Coturnix japonica: one gene and its partner. The protein of the gene in region 1 purifies or fractionates together with the protein of each later gene. This does not show direct contact. Links are inferred from orthologs where the notes say so. Each region holds a gene or a part of one and is shown in the gene's direction. Other genes may lie near its edges. The genes, in order: GPC1 and HADHB.

Evidence for each region.
Region 2: the proteins of GPC1 (region 1) and HADHB purify together in Homo sapiens (co-immunoprecipitation; 3 studies listed by BioGRID and IntAct, counting the BioPlex papers as one, with this or other methods). This does not show direct contact. The link is inferred for Coturnix japonica from reciprocal best matches to the Homo sapiens genes GPC1 and HADHB.

Annotation. Positions count from the first base shown.
Region 1 is NC_029524.1:617,048-623,496, forward strand, and holds part of GPC1 (glypican-1), read left to right. Parts: intron 1-2,684; coding exon 2,685-2,850; intron 2,851-6,107; coding exon 6,108-6,238; intron 6,239-6,449. UniProt on the Homo sapiens protein: Cell surface proteoglycan that bears heparan sulfate. Binds, via the heparan sulfate side chains, alpha-4 (V) collagen and participates in Schwann cell myelination.
Region 2 is NC_029518.1:95,818,600-95,825,728, forward strand, and holds the start of HADHB (trifunctional enzyme subunit beta, mitochondrial), read left to right. Parts: upstream 1-2,489; 5' UTR 2,490-2,545; coding exon 2,546-2,597; intron 2,598-2,615; exon of another isoform or gene 2,616-2,651; intron 2,652-2,776; exon of another isoform or gene 2,777-2,820; intron 2,821-2,956; coding exon 2,957-3,031; intron 3,032-3,444; coding exon 3,445-3,486; intron 3,487-4,895; coding exon 4,896-4,995; intron 4,996-5,204; coding exon 5,205-5,249; intron 5,250-6,083; coding exon 6,084-6,183; intron 6,184-7,129. Other genes in the region: HADHA (trifunctional enzyme subunit alpha, mitochondrial), read right to left, coding at 1,496-1,583. UniProt on the Homo sapiens protein: Mitochondrial trifunctional enzyme catalyzes the last three of the four reactions of the mitochondrial beta-oxidation pathway.

The DNA of each region.
Region 1 (6,449 bases):
CTGGCTCCTGGGGGCATGAAGCACAGATGGCTCACAGCAGCCTGGGGATGAGCGTGCAAGAGAAGTAGGGATATGAACAGAGCATGGAGAGCTCCACTTGCTCTATTGGTGTTAAATGCTTTTCAGATGCACTTAAAGGCCCCTGAAGGCAGAGGAGCCCCATCACATTGCAGCTAGGCTGCAGGTTCTCATTTGCTTTCAAGCAAGGCTTCAAAAGGATAAAGGATTTGGGTGGAGTGTTTTTTTGTTTTTTTCCTTTCCCTTGATCTAAGCCAACATTTCAAAAGCAGCATCTGCAGTTTGGCTGCAGGGTGTGGGTGCTGAGCAGCCAAGGACCTCCAAGTGGGCTCACACAGCTGTGCTGTGGGGATGGACTTGCTGCACATAAACTGCCCCATAGCAGTTTGGTGCTGCTTTGCCGGATGCCTGTGGCTTCCTACAGCTCAGCCTTCCTTCAGAGCTGAGACACTGAGAAGGGGAGGGGGGCTGTTGTTTCATCAGAGAAACCCTCAACCCCCTGGATGTGATGATGCAGAGCTTGTTGCAGTACTGGTGCCTTTTTGTCACTAGTCCCCATAACCATGGTTTTTACATCCCAAACTTTTAGTTATTTGGTCTTTCCAGCCAATTCTGTCAGAAGTAATTGGCTTGCCCTATGGAGACTGGGGCCCCCGCCATGTCTACACTCAGGTGCCTTCAGTCCCCAAGTGTCCAGCCAGGACATCCTTGTGTGCCTGAGTTGCTTTTCCCATTCCACGAGCAGCTCTGCCTCCCCTGTGTCTTCATTTCAGAAGTTCATTCTGAACTCACGTTTTAGGCAGTGGGATGGCTTTGTTCTCCCCGCACATCTCAGTGCAGGCAGTCAGAATGGGTGACTGTTTGTCCCTCAACACCTGCATTTCTGTGGCTCTCTGTTTTGGAAGTGTATTAATAAGCTGCTTGGCAGGAGACTTCTTGGTTAGAAGCCTCGTAGGCTGAATGTTTTCTAAATTGTCTGGGGTGGTTGCAAGGAACCCAGCTTGGGACTAATCCCCAGCCTATCCTCTCAGCAGATCGCTTGCAAAAGTCATTAATTTTACTGTAATTGATTTAAACATTGCTCAGGAGGGGGAAAATTGAGGGAAACAAACGCCAGTTTGAAAGCCGAGAACTACGTGTGTTCTCAGCTCTCTCTCGTATTATCTCCACGTGCGCTCATTCCCTGCTGGCCCCTCTGCAGCCGCCAGTACCGCACAGTACACAGTGAGTCCCAGCACTGCGCTGCGGTGCCCCAATCCCTGCGGACCCACAAGCTCCCCTCCTGCTCCAGACATTCACACAGGAGGCTGTTTTCTGCTCTGCCTCCAGCAATTGGCAGCTGGCTGGGTGGCTTCATCAGCCGTGCATGGGCACATCGGGCTTTGGAAAGCAGCCATGGAAAAGCACAGAGCTCTGCTGTTGATGCACAGCGCAGTCACGGGGTAATACCTGATGACAGCCTCCTTGCAGTGTCGGTGCCGGTGGTGGCGCGGGGCTTTGTGTGCTGCAGCCACCTGTTCCCGTTACGTTACCTCATTGCAACTCCAATCAGCCACTGTATCTCCAGCTGTAAAGTAGCTTTAATTAAAATGATTCATTGCTCAAGACCGAATCATCCCCCATTTGGGGTATTTTTTAGAAGGTAACATTTTTTCTATATCACTTTGTCACTGGGTTTGCACTTTCAGGGGCTGCTCCCACTGATGTTGCTGGGATCAGAACAGAGCATGCAGATTTTAACTGAGCAGTGACATAGAAATCATGTATTTTTAGGTTGAGCGTGGCTTTGTTTGGCATGCTTATTTGTACCTCTGGCAGCTGAATGAGGAGTGTCCTGGCTCCGAGCCATATCACTCAGTAACTTTCTTTTTTTGGGTCCCGGGTAAACGGCTTCTCCGATGTATCATGCATTTCTTCTTGACATCTTTATGCAATTTCTATGTCACTGAGCTAAGGCAGGACTATAGGTGCCATTAAAGCTAAAGGAGAACATGTCAACATAGGGAATCAAGGTCATTGCACAGACGATGCAGCTGAAAATTGCATCTTTGTAAGGTGAGCTCCAGTACCCGTGTTCCAGTCTGTGCCATGTTTGGTAAGCGTGAAGTGTTCACTTCAGCAAGGACTGAAGGACACCCACTGGGCAGGGCTGTGTGTGGCCGTGTCTGAGGGATTTGCTGTCTCAAGGCCAGAAGTGAATCTTTATATTGAGCATTTCTTTGTCCCACAGAAGAAATGTACAAGAACATATTCAAGGTGTTTTTCACAACCAGTAAAGAGATGAGGGGCAGCTTTCAGGGCTGCAGCATGAGGGTCAAGCATTCGGACCTCCCAGTTTGTTCCCCCCTGGGGGAGTAACAGCTCCTTGTCCCTAAGCAAGGCTGGCATGCAGACACTTGATAATTTCTTTTTGTAAATGATTTTAAAAGAATGATTAGAGAATTGGAACTGGGTGCAAGCAAAGATAGGGGAAGCTCTTAGTGATAAGACAGGGGAGCAGCGAGCTCCATCAGCACCTCCACGGGGCCTATTGGATGTGTTACAGGGACCTCTGTGCTGCAGAGGCTGGGGCCTTGCTGGGAGCCCTGGGTTCTGCCTCATGGGATGGTTTGGTTTAAGTTGACACACCGCCTGCCCATGTTTCTGACTCTGCTCCGTCTCCCCAGGTGTCCCTCAGCCACGAGTGCACCCGTGCTGTCATGAAGCTGATGTACTGCCCGCACTGCCGGGGCATGGCCAGCGTGAAGCCATGCAGCAACTACTGCCTGAACGTGGTCAAGGGCTGCCTGGCCAACCAAGCTGACCTGAACACCGAGTGGAAGTATCTGATGGGTAAGGTGGCCTCACTCCTCACTGCCCCGTGGCACCTTTTCAGACTCTTTGAGGCCTTTGGAGAGTACAGAAGGGGCCCCTGGAAGAGCTGAAGGAGCCTCTTTTACACCACTGTTTCTCTGCCTGTGATCTGAACACTAAATCTAAATATATTGCAGGATGTTTTTCTGGGCTTTAATACCATTTGGGTCATCTGTCTTCTCCCAAAGGCTGAGGCTTAGGGACAGGTTCTGCTTCCTCATCTACGCCATGGCATATGTGAGCACATGGGAATCCCTGGCAGCCCTCCCTGGGATGTGATCTAGAAACATGAAGCTGTAATCTTTTTCCGTGGGTGAGAGCAAAGGGATCAGAATTGCTCACTTCTGAATGGAAAGTAAATACATGGGAGGGAGAAGTTGCAGCCTACATGAGGAATGGGAAAATTAGACTTGTATTTTAAGTGAGAAAAGAGCTCTTTTGTTTTTTCACTCAGCTAAGACAGTGGGTACTTCTTGAAGTGAGCTGTGTGTGTGTTAAGGTATCCATTTCCTTGACGTGGTCTGATACCCTCTGCAACGCAGAGCAGAGACCTTCTATAGTGTGACAGCATTACAGCACAGCCTCTCTCCTACTGCAGTCTGCTGGGGGAGGCTGCTCATGTTAGGAAAGCTCTCACTCCTCTTTGTATACCCAGGTTGTACATTTAGGTTGGAGTGCTAACATCAAAAACCCCACTGCAGTGTAACCTCCATCTCAGGGGATGCTGCCAAATAAGGATACTACTGCTGCATTCAGGCCGGTGTTCTGTGGGTGCATTGGCCAGCTGCCTGCCTCTTGCCAGGAGCTAACGAACCGAGTGGCAGTGTGCTGTGGCTAATTGGATGTACTTCCCATCGGCGGCCTGCTACGGAAGAGGGGGAGGAATCAAGAGGGGGAGGAATATTCCCTTCCCCAAGGGTTTACACCGGGGTTTTGATGAAGCTTTGTCCTCTCTGAGCACAGGAAGCCAACTGTTAGCTGTCACTGCTCCCCTGACCAGGGTGACTGTCCGGCTTCTGAAAGGTCAGCACACCGCTCTCACAACTTGACAGGACTGCATTCTGCAGTTATTGAGAGCTCCTCTTGGCCAAGAGACACTGGTCTTGTCAGGAGGTGTTGGCTGGGAGGAAACTGTAGCTTCCTTTAAATTGTGGCTGTATGTTTTACTGCCAGAGGTCATCATTTGATCAAGGACTGGAGCAAAACATGCAGGAAAAGGCAGAATTTCCTTGGCATTGCCCGTGTTTTACCTTTAGGCCCTTCCATGTAGCTGGAAAGGACTTGGTGACAACAGCGTTTCTCTTTCAGCTGGACAAATTAGGACAGGTCAAACAAAAGATATCTATAGAAAGTAATCAAATATAATTTATCACTAATTTGGGGATGCAGCCTTTGATTTAAATATCTATCACAGCATTAGTGGATCCGCAGACTGTAATTGCCTGAAAATAGAGTCTTGTAGATGACACTGCAACCCCTCTGTGGCAGCAAAGTTGAACTGCAAGCTCTGTGATGTTACAGGAGATGCTATTTCACAGAACACGAAAACATAACAACTCACATGGCATGTTTAGCTTTAGGTGTGACTGTGCATGCTGTTAAATCCTATATGACAGAGCAGAGCACAGACTGTGCCCTGCATGGGCATGATCTGGTATCTTCTGTGGATTTGTGCTATCCCTTCTGTAGTACTTGCCCAGGATGCTCATTCAGTGGGAGCAGTCAGGACCTGAACATTAGCCATGCAGTATCAAAGAGAACATATTTTTGAGGGCTGTGCATGCTGTTACATTGACAGCAGTGGACTCAGGATCAGGCCATCCTTGTTAACATTGTGCTTCCACTGTGGACCTACTGCCTCTGCACAGTGTCTGCAGGACCTCATGGAAGGCATCTGGGGCCTTTCTGCCAACTCCTACTGCTTTGCACAGACAAGGGACTGAATACACGTTTGAAGTGATGTTGGTCCCCATTTGTGCCCTGGCTGGGTGGACCCCTGCTCACAGGAAATCCTATTGTGCAGCTGAGTGGCACTGCGTGCTATGGGATGGTGTAGAATGGTGTGTTCTACTGATGCCCTGCTGAACTGCTGGGCACAGCTCACCTGGTGGTTTCCTTGCTCATGAATATCAGCACAACGAACATGTGCAGAATAAGCTTTCTGCAGCATCACACCATCTGCTGTGACAGTCTCCTGCCAGACTGATGGGGAAGGTATTAGGATCTAGGATAGAAAATTAATCTCTGCTAAAGAATGAGTTCTTCAGCCTGGACCCTGGGATTTGACCCCCTTTGTGCAGAGAAGGAAAATCAACATCACAGGTGTTTTCTTCCATATGGAGAAGCCGCAGGAACATGAGGTACTTTCTGTTCTATATGAGCGAGAGCCACCCCTGCTCTCTGCTACATCTCTTCCCCTGCCAGGAAGCATTTGGTGTGTCCTGCGGAATGCAAGACCACACGGGAGTCATCTGAGGTCACAAGGAGCTGCCAAGTCCCTAAATCCTCATGGTCTGGCCTTCAGGCTGCTTGGAACAGAGATGGTAGAAAACTGAGGCGGCAGCAGCTCTGCAGCGGCTATTTTGACTGACAAAGCCAGCCCTGGTTACAAACCTAATTTAGGTGTCTGAGACCTGTCCAAAGCTCCTGCTTAACTCTGGCTGGAGATCAGCCAAGGAGATCAGCTTTCCTACGTGTGGCATTCCCCAGTGCCCCATGACCTGTGTGCACACAGTCTGTCTTTCCTTCAGACCCACAGAGCACTGAAAATCTTCTCCATAGGCAGAGGCTGGTTATAGTCCCAAAACACAGTCCCAAAACAGCCATGGTGGCGGGCACCTCCAGGTCAGGCAGGAGCACTTGGAGAGCAGAGCTTTACAAGATAGGAGGAGCTGAGAGCAATAGGCATGTCCTCAGTCACACTCAGTCCCACTGATCAGTTTAGTTGTGGGCTTCACAGTCTGCTCTTTTGCCCTTAGTACATGATATTTCCTTTTTCTTGCTCTTTCGCTGCCTCAGAAGCTGTTGCTCCCATCCAGTACCTTTGGCACCACATCCACCCTTTAGACAGCTGTGCCATTCTGGAGGATAATGAGCATAGGTTTAAAAAGCAGTGAAAATGGAGAGATATCCTCCAGCAGATCTTCCAAGAGGCCAACCCTGTAGTGCACCCAGCATGAGCATGAGCTTTAACATGGTTTGTCTGATGAAGGGATGTCTCTGTGTTATTTTACCAGATGCGCTGGTTGCTGTGGCTGATCGGATTGATGGACCATACAATGTAGACACAGTAATAGGGACTATTCACATGAGGATCTCTGAAGCTATTTCTAACTTGCAAGAAAACAAAGTTTCAATCACAGCCAAGGTAAGAGCGTGTGCCTGGGCCTGGCCTAGGGTACACCATGTGTAATTGCCTGGATCAAATGGTTTTTGTTCTCACTGCTGAATTGAATAAAGGGTAGGAAAGAAGAAGGAGAGATGATGCACACTCTTTTGATGATAGGAAAGTACTGTCTTAGGCAGACAACAACCTTCTGAGGTATTTCCAAATGCTTCTCTCTGCCACAGTCAGCTTT
Region 2 (7,129 bases), on another chromosome or scaffold:
CCTTTACCCCACATAAACCCCCTCCAATGACACCTTTATATGTGGATACACCTACAGCTCCTTCACAACACCATCCCTACGACCCTTTACCCCTCACAAACCCCCCACCATTAACACGTTTATATATGGATATACCTACAGGCTTCACAACACCATCCCTATGGCACTTTACCTTTCACAAACCCCCTCCAATGACACCTTTATATATGGATACACCTACAGCCCCATCACAACACCATTTCTACGACCCTTTACCCCTCACAAACCCCCCTTTATTAACACCTTTATATATGGATACACCTATAGCCCCTTCACAACACCATCCCTACGACCCTTTACCCCTCACAAACCCCCCTTTATTAACACCTTTATATATGGATACACCTACAGCCCCTTCATAACACCATCCCTACAACCCTTTACCCTTCACAAACCCCCTCCATTGACACCTTTATATGCGGATACAACTACAGCCCCTTCACAACACCATCCCTACGACCCTTTACCCCACATAAACCCCCTTTATATGTGGATACACTTACAGCCCCTTCACAACACCATCCTTACAACACTTTACCCCTCACAAACCCCCTCCATTAACACCTTTGTATATGGATACACCTACAGCCCCTTCACAACACCATCCCTACGACCCTTTACCCCACATAAACCCCCTCCATTAACACCTTTATATGTGAATACACCTACAGCCCCTTCACAACACCATCCCTACGACCCCTTACCCCTCACAAACCCCCCACCATTAACACCTTTAGATATGGATACACCTACAGCCCCTTCACAACAGCATCCCTAAAACCCTTTACCCTTCACAAACCCCCTCCAATGACACCTTTATATATGGATACACCTACAGCCTCTTCACAACACCATCCCTACAACCCTTTACCCCTCACAAACCCCCTTTATTAACACCTTTATATACAAATACACCTACAGCCCCTTCACAACACCATCCCTACAACCCTTTACCCCTCACAAACCCCCCACCATTAACACGTTTATATATAACCTACAGGCTTCACAACATCATCCCTATGTCACTTTACCCTTCACAAACCCCCTCCAATGACACCTTTATATAGGGATACACCTACAGTCCCTTCACAACACCATCCTTATGACCCTTTACCCCTCACAAACCCCCTTCAATAACACCTTTATATATGGATACACCTACAGCCCCTTCACAACACCATCCCTACGACCCTTTACCCCACATATACCCCCTCTATTGACACCTTTATACGTGGATACACCCACAGCTCCTTCACAACACCATCCCTACGACCCTTTACCCCTCACAAACCCCCTTTATTAACACCTTTATATATGAATACACCTACAGCCCCTTCACAAACCCCCTTATAAGCCCTCCACACCCCCCCCACATCCACCCACCCGTCATTTCAGCACTGCCCCCCACCTCACCGACCCCATTACCACACCAGGCTCCCCCCCACCCATATCTCACCCTCAGCTCCCTGTCGACGAGGCGGGTAATACTTGGTAGCGGCCGCGAAGCGCCCCAAGCTGCCCATAGCGCGCACTGCGGCCGCCATCTTGTTGCGCGCGAGGTCGAATGAGGGAGAGGCCGCCAAGGGAGGGGGGGCTTCGATCCGCCCTTGAGGCTGTCTACACTAGTGCCTGTCTCCGAGCACGATTTGGTTTTGATTCCCTCTCTATTTCATATTATCCATAAAGCTTTAGTGGCTGTAGGTGATAATGTAAAGGTGATATCAGTCTAGCGGAGGAAAAGGATGAAAGGGGGTGTGGGTGAGGCAGCCCTGGAGGCGGGGTGGGGGCCTTCATGAGGGCAGGCGGCGGCGCTGAGAGGACGGGGGTGCGCAGGAGGAGGTGGGAGATTGTTGGGTTTATGAGGGAAAATTGCGATTTAATGGGGGAAATAATGGTTTATGTGGGGAAATAGGGGCTTGTGTGGGTTAAACAGCGTGGAATGTGGGGGGGATTGGGATTAGTTGGCTTTTATGGGCATTTTGGGGGGGGGGTTATTTGGGGGTGAGGCCTAGGAGGGGTAAGGAAGTGATGTGTGTGGTGTTATATGTGTGTATATATGGGGGTGTAGGGGCTGCTATGCAAGCAAAGCAGGTTCTGGGTCTCTATGGGCATTGAGGTGTTTTATTGGGGTCCCTGAGGGTTCCTGGGAGGGAAAAAAGGGAAAAAAAAGAATAAAATAAGGTTTTTATGCGTTTGAGGCAATGAAATCCATGGGTGCTGTGCTTGCGTTGGGTTGGGTATGTGAGAACTGCTCTGGGATATCGGCAGAGGTATGAGGGAAGAGAGGGGAGGCAGAGAGGGAGAGAGAAGATAGATAGAGACAAGAGATAGATAGGATAGAGAAGGGAGGAGGTTTGGTTTATGGGGTCTTTATCTGTGTGAGGAGCTTGATATTGGTTTGTAGGATGCTGCTATAGCCAGAGAGAGTCATAGAACCTTTTAAATTGGAAGGGACCTTTAAAGAGAAGCGCTGAGTGGGATATTCTGCTTATTGTGTGGATGCCCAATGAGGGTTATTGGGGTTAAAGTTAAAGGCCGTGGTGTGAAATGGTGCCAAGGTGAGTGCGTCAGGAGGATCACACTGGTGGTGACGTTGGCTGGGCTCCGGGACGGTATTTCAAGGGGGAAGTGGTGGGATAGTTATTGAGGGGGGAAGCTAAAACTACCAGCTGCTGACAGATCAGAGCTGGGTCCTCCTGGAGATAAGTGTTAATTTACAGGGGTATTAGCAGGCCGCAGTCACAAGCCAGTCACTTCATCTGTTAGATGCTGTAACAGAAAGTAATCTCTGCTGCTCTTGGATCAGCTTCTGTTTCTTCCCTTTCTTTGGCTCTTGTGTGAAGCGAGCAGGTTATTTCCCTTGAAATTAATCCAGATAGGTCAGAGTGGATTATTAACAACCTTTTTCCACTTCTAGATATCAAAATGACTTCTATGCTGAGCCATACCGTCCGAAACCTCCCTGCTTCTTCAGCATGGGCCATCAGGGTCTGTAAGTATGTTTACATTTATCAGAACCTTGACGTGTCAGGTTGTTACCTGTGTTTAGGTTGGATGTTAGGGGGAAGTTCTTCACTAGGAGAGTGGTTAGGCCCTGGAACAGGCTGCACAGGGAGGTTGTGGATGCCCCGTTCTTGGAGGTGTTCAAGACCAGGTTGGACGGGGCCCTGGGCAACCTGATCTATGGGGTCTCTATGGGGATCTATGGGGTCTCCTGGGCAACCTGATCTAGTAAAGGTGTATGTTTGGTGGCCCTGCCAGGCAGGGGGGTTGGAACTACATTGCCCAATCCTTGAGGTCCCTTCCAACCCGGGTCATTCTGTGATTCTGTTACGTTCAGAAAGCAGAAATGTTTTTGGCACTTAAGATTTGGCTGATCCTTTTCCTCCTTCTTTTGTTTTCCAGTTGCTCGATCTCTCAGCTGCTCTTCACAGTTACAAGCTCCAGGTAAAGTGAAAATACCAGAGATCCCATTGGATCTGTGCTAGAAGGCTGTGCTACCCTTTTTGAAGCACAGATCTCAGATACGCAGTGCAGACAGCTGTAAATCACAGGTGCCCATCTAAAATTGCAAAGAAATAAAACTCCAAGCAAAGCACCGTGGTGGAATGCTACAAACACCTTAATGCCTCTCAACCCCAAATGCTGTACCCATCCTAGAGCTCACAGCACATCCTCACCTGATTTTCTAGGCTGAGAAGCTAAGCTAGGAAGTTACAAACTGGATATAATCAGGCCTTTTTCCCTGGAGAAGAGGGAATTGTCCTCGACTAGGAGGAGATTGTGGAGTTAGCTCTGAAGTCCAGTGAGACTCAGGTCCCAGCAGAGCTGTTGAGAGCACACTGTTACAGGGATTATTAGCTGTGGTTCTCACAGAGCAGTTGGGTACTGTAGGGCTCTAATATTGATTGTGTGCTTTCTCAAGTGACTAATGCTTTGAGCTGCCTGGATTTGGGAAGAGAACCTAAGTGGTAACTTCCCTTTACCCCCTTGGTTTTGCACAGAGAGCCTTGTAGAACAAACAACACATGAACATGCTGGAGTTGCATACCTGCGTGTTTACTCAGCATGCTATATAGCCAGATTTAATCTGGTTTTGTCCTTTCATGGTTTGCAAATGGAGTTACCCCATGCTGCTGTATATGCTCATTATGATTTGCGCGTCTGAGTAGGTTAGGGAATTCTTGTTAACTCTGTTTATTCTCATTCCAAAAGAGCTCTGGTGGCTTGTTGAATGGTGCTGTATTGTGACACTGCTTTATCTTGATCCTGAAATAATTGGATACCTTAAAGTAACAAGTTACCTGCAGCAACCATATACATCTTTTCTCCTGCTCTGCTTTGTGCAAGTTAGTTGTTTATTGAACTGTATATTGATTTATCATGAGTTATCTCACCTTTACTGTGCAGTGAGAGCACAGATATAAGTAGTTACTTTGCAAGGTGGATCGTCAGCTGTTTCTTATAGAGAGACTGTGAGATCTAACACTGTGTGAGGTTTAACTCTGGCTGCAGGGCTTTCAATTTGTCCTACTTCATTACTGTAAGCTGTGCACCATTTTTAGTTGCATCTGCTCCTGCTCTCACCAGTGTTCATGGAGACTAGGAGCTGCAAGCATTATTCTCAGCAGTGCTGTTGCCTCAGCACTACAAATCTCTGTGTTAATAGGGGAAATAGTGAGTTGTTAAACTGTTTTTATACATCACCTGATTAACCAGAGACAAGATAACAACATGGGTGTTCTCCCTGCAACGCTATTGACTTACGCACCAAAAGAGAACATCTTCCCTAGTTTTCTCCTAGTTCTAACAGCTCTAAGCTTGCTTGTTAATAGTTAAGTATGCTTCCCTTTCAGCTGTTCAGCCTAAGAGCAAGAAGACCTTAGCCAAAAGTGGTGTGAAGAATATTGTTGTGGTGGAGGGCGTCCGTATTCCGTTCTTGCAGTCTGGCACCTCGTAAGTATAGCATGAGGAAACACATGCTCACGTGGTTGGTGGTGGAATCTTTCTGTGGGGAAAGAATGGGCTTGCTTGTTCATGTAGTTATTTCTTTAATGCCTCTAGTGCTATATTGTGCAGCTGATGTCTGCTTATGGTGTTTGGGTGAAGTCATTTTCTATGGCTTTCTGTCACTTAAATTTTTGCCTTTCTTTTTTGACTTCCAGCTACGCAGATCTTATGCCCCATGACTTAGCCCGAGCAGCACTGCAGTAAGTAAACTGAATTTCCTTTTCATTTGGTCCTTGTAGTGCATTAAACTATGAATCCCACTATTCTTAACCACTGCCTACAATGGGGTTTCCTGTGTTGGTATATTTGCCACAATGTTTGGACAAGTTATGCAGTGTTTTCTTAATGAACTGTGGAAACAGACTGCTCGTTTTCTATGTCTCTTTATGGGAGCTTTCATGTTCCTACACCAAAGGTTTGTTATCTCTTAAGGCATTCTTCCATTAATTTGATGCTGGAAGAGTCAAATTGGGGAATATAACAACCACTTCTGGAGTGAAATGGGAACTGCTTTCATGAAGTTATGTCACCATTTAACTTCTGTTTATGAGGGTGGATTCTGATAGGACAAGGGAGAATGGTTTTAAACTGAGATGGGAGGTTTAGGTTGGATCTTAAGAGGAAGTTTTTCACCCAGAGGGTGGTGACTCACTGGAACAGGTTGCCCAAGGAGGCTGTGGATGCCCCATCCCTGCAGGCATTCAAGGCCAGGCTGGATGTGGCTCTGGGCTGCCTGGGCTGCTGGTTGGTGACCCTGCACACAGCAGGGGGTTGGAACTGGATGATCATTGTGGTCCTTTCCAACACATTCTATGGCTATTTATAGTAGTGTTATTGCTATGATTTTTTTGCAGTCAATTGCACTTGTCATTAAGTACACATACAAGCAAGATTTCATATGAATTTGTGCAGTAGGTGTAGCTCCACTGTTGCCTTGTTCTTCAGACAAGCTAGTGGAAGGTAGGACCTTGATGGCAGAGGCAAAGTCATTGCTCACATGCTGCAAATTCTACTTGTTTCTGTCTTCTCCTTAGGGGCTTACTGAACAGGACCAGTGTCCCAAAGGATGTTGTTGATTACATTGTGTATGGCACAGTTATCCAGGAAGTGAAAACAAGCAATGTTGCCAGAGAGGTGGGTGATGTACAGCTTATCTCCTATAAGTTAGATTTCAGCAGCTAGTAAGAAGAAGATAAACCCCTTACAGAAAGTTCTGGAACAGTGTGTTTGCAGTATAGGCTATTTGTGCAGTGTTGTCTTATCCAATAACTGCATGGGAATCTGCCATAGATCAAATGCATTCTGATGCTGTGAAGCCTCTGCTCGATTCTTCACTGAAATGACCAGTTGGATTCAATTGCTGGCTTGTCAGAAGTACTTGAGAGGAGCAGAGCATGCTGTGATACATTGCTTTGTATTTGTTTTAGTATTTAAATGAATTGAAACGGAGCAGCTTAGTTGCTCGTCTGTTTTTCTGGCAAGCAAAAAATGCTGTTTGCATATTAGACACAGAGAGAAATTGATCCACTGAAGGGAAATTATGGAGGTGGCATGTGATTTTCAGTTATTCTCTGCAACCAGGCTAAGCCATTACATAACACGTACTGGAAACACTGATGAGATTGTGAGGCTCTGTGTTCCACCAGCAGTTTTATCCTTGTATATGCAAATACTTGCTTTGGTCACCTGCCAGTCAGATGGGACCGTGGTTTAATTTTAACTTGGAGCAACTGCTGAACTTTAAACTAGTTGGCCACGTCTCAACTAGGGAAGGTCATGGTGTGAGTAATTCTGTGCTAGGAGGTTGGGTCAGACGAGACACAGCTTTCTGAACTGCAGGAAATGTTTTCTGTTCTGTTTAAAGCAACTCAGTGCCTTGTACTGAGGGTTCTCAATAATTCTTTTCATGTGCCGTGTTTGCAAATAGTGTCTATAAAGGATGATGCTGTGTATTTGAAAGCTCCTTTACATGGCTTGAGAGCCCTAAGGGGTGGGCAGTCACCTTCTCCTGTAACCAGGGAAGGTGGGGGAAAGAGATGCTGCAGTAATTGGCTGAGTAGAAACTTGGTGTACTTGTTTT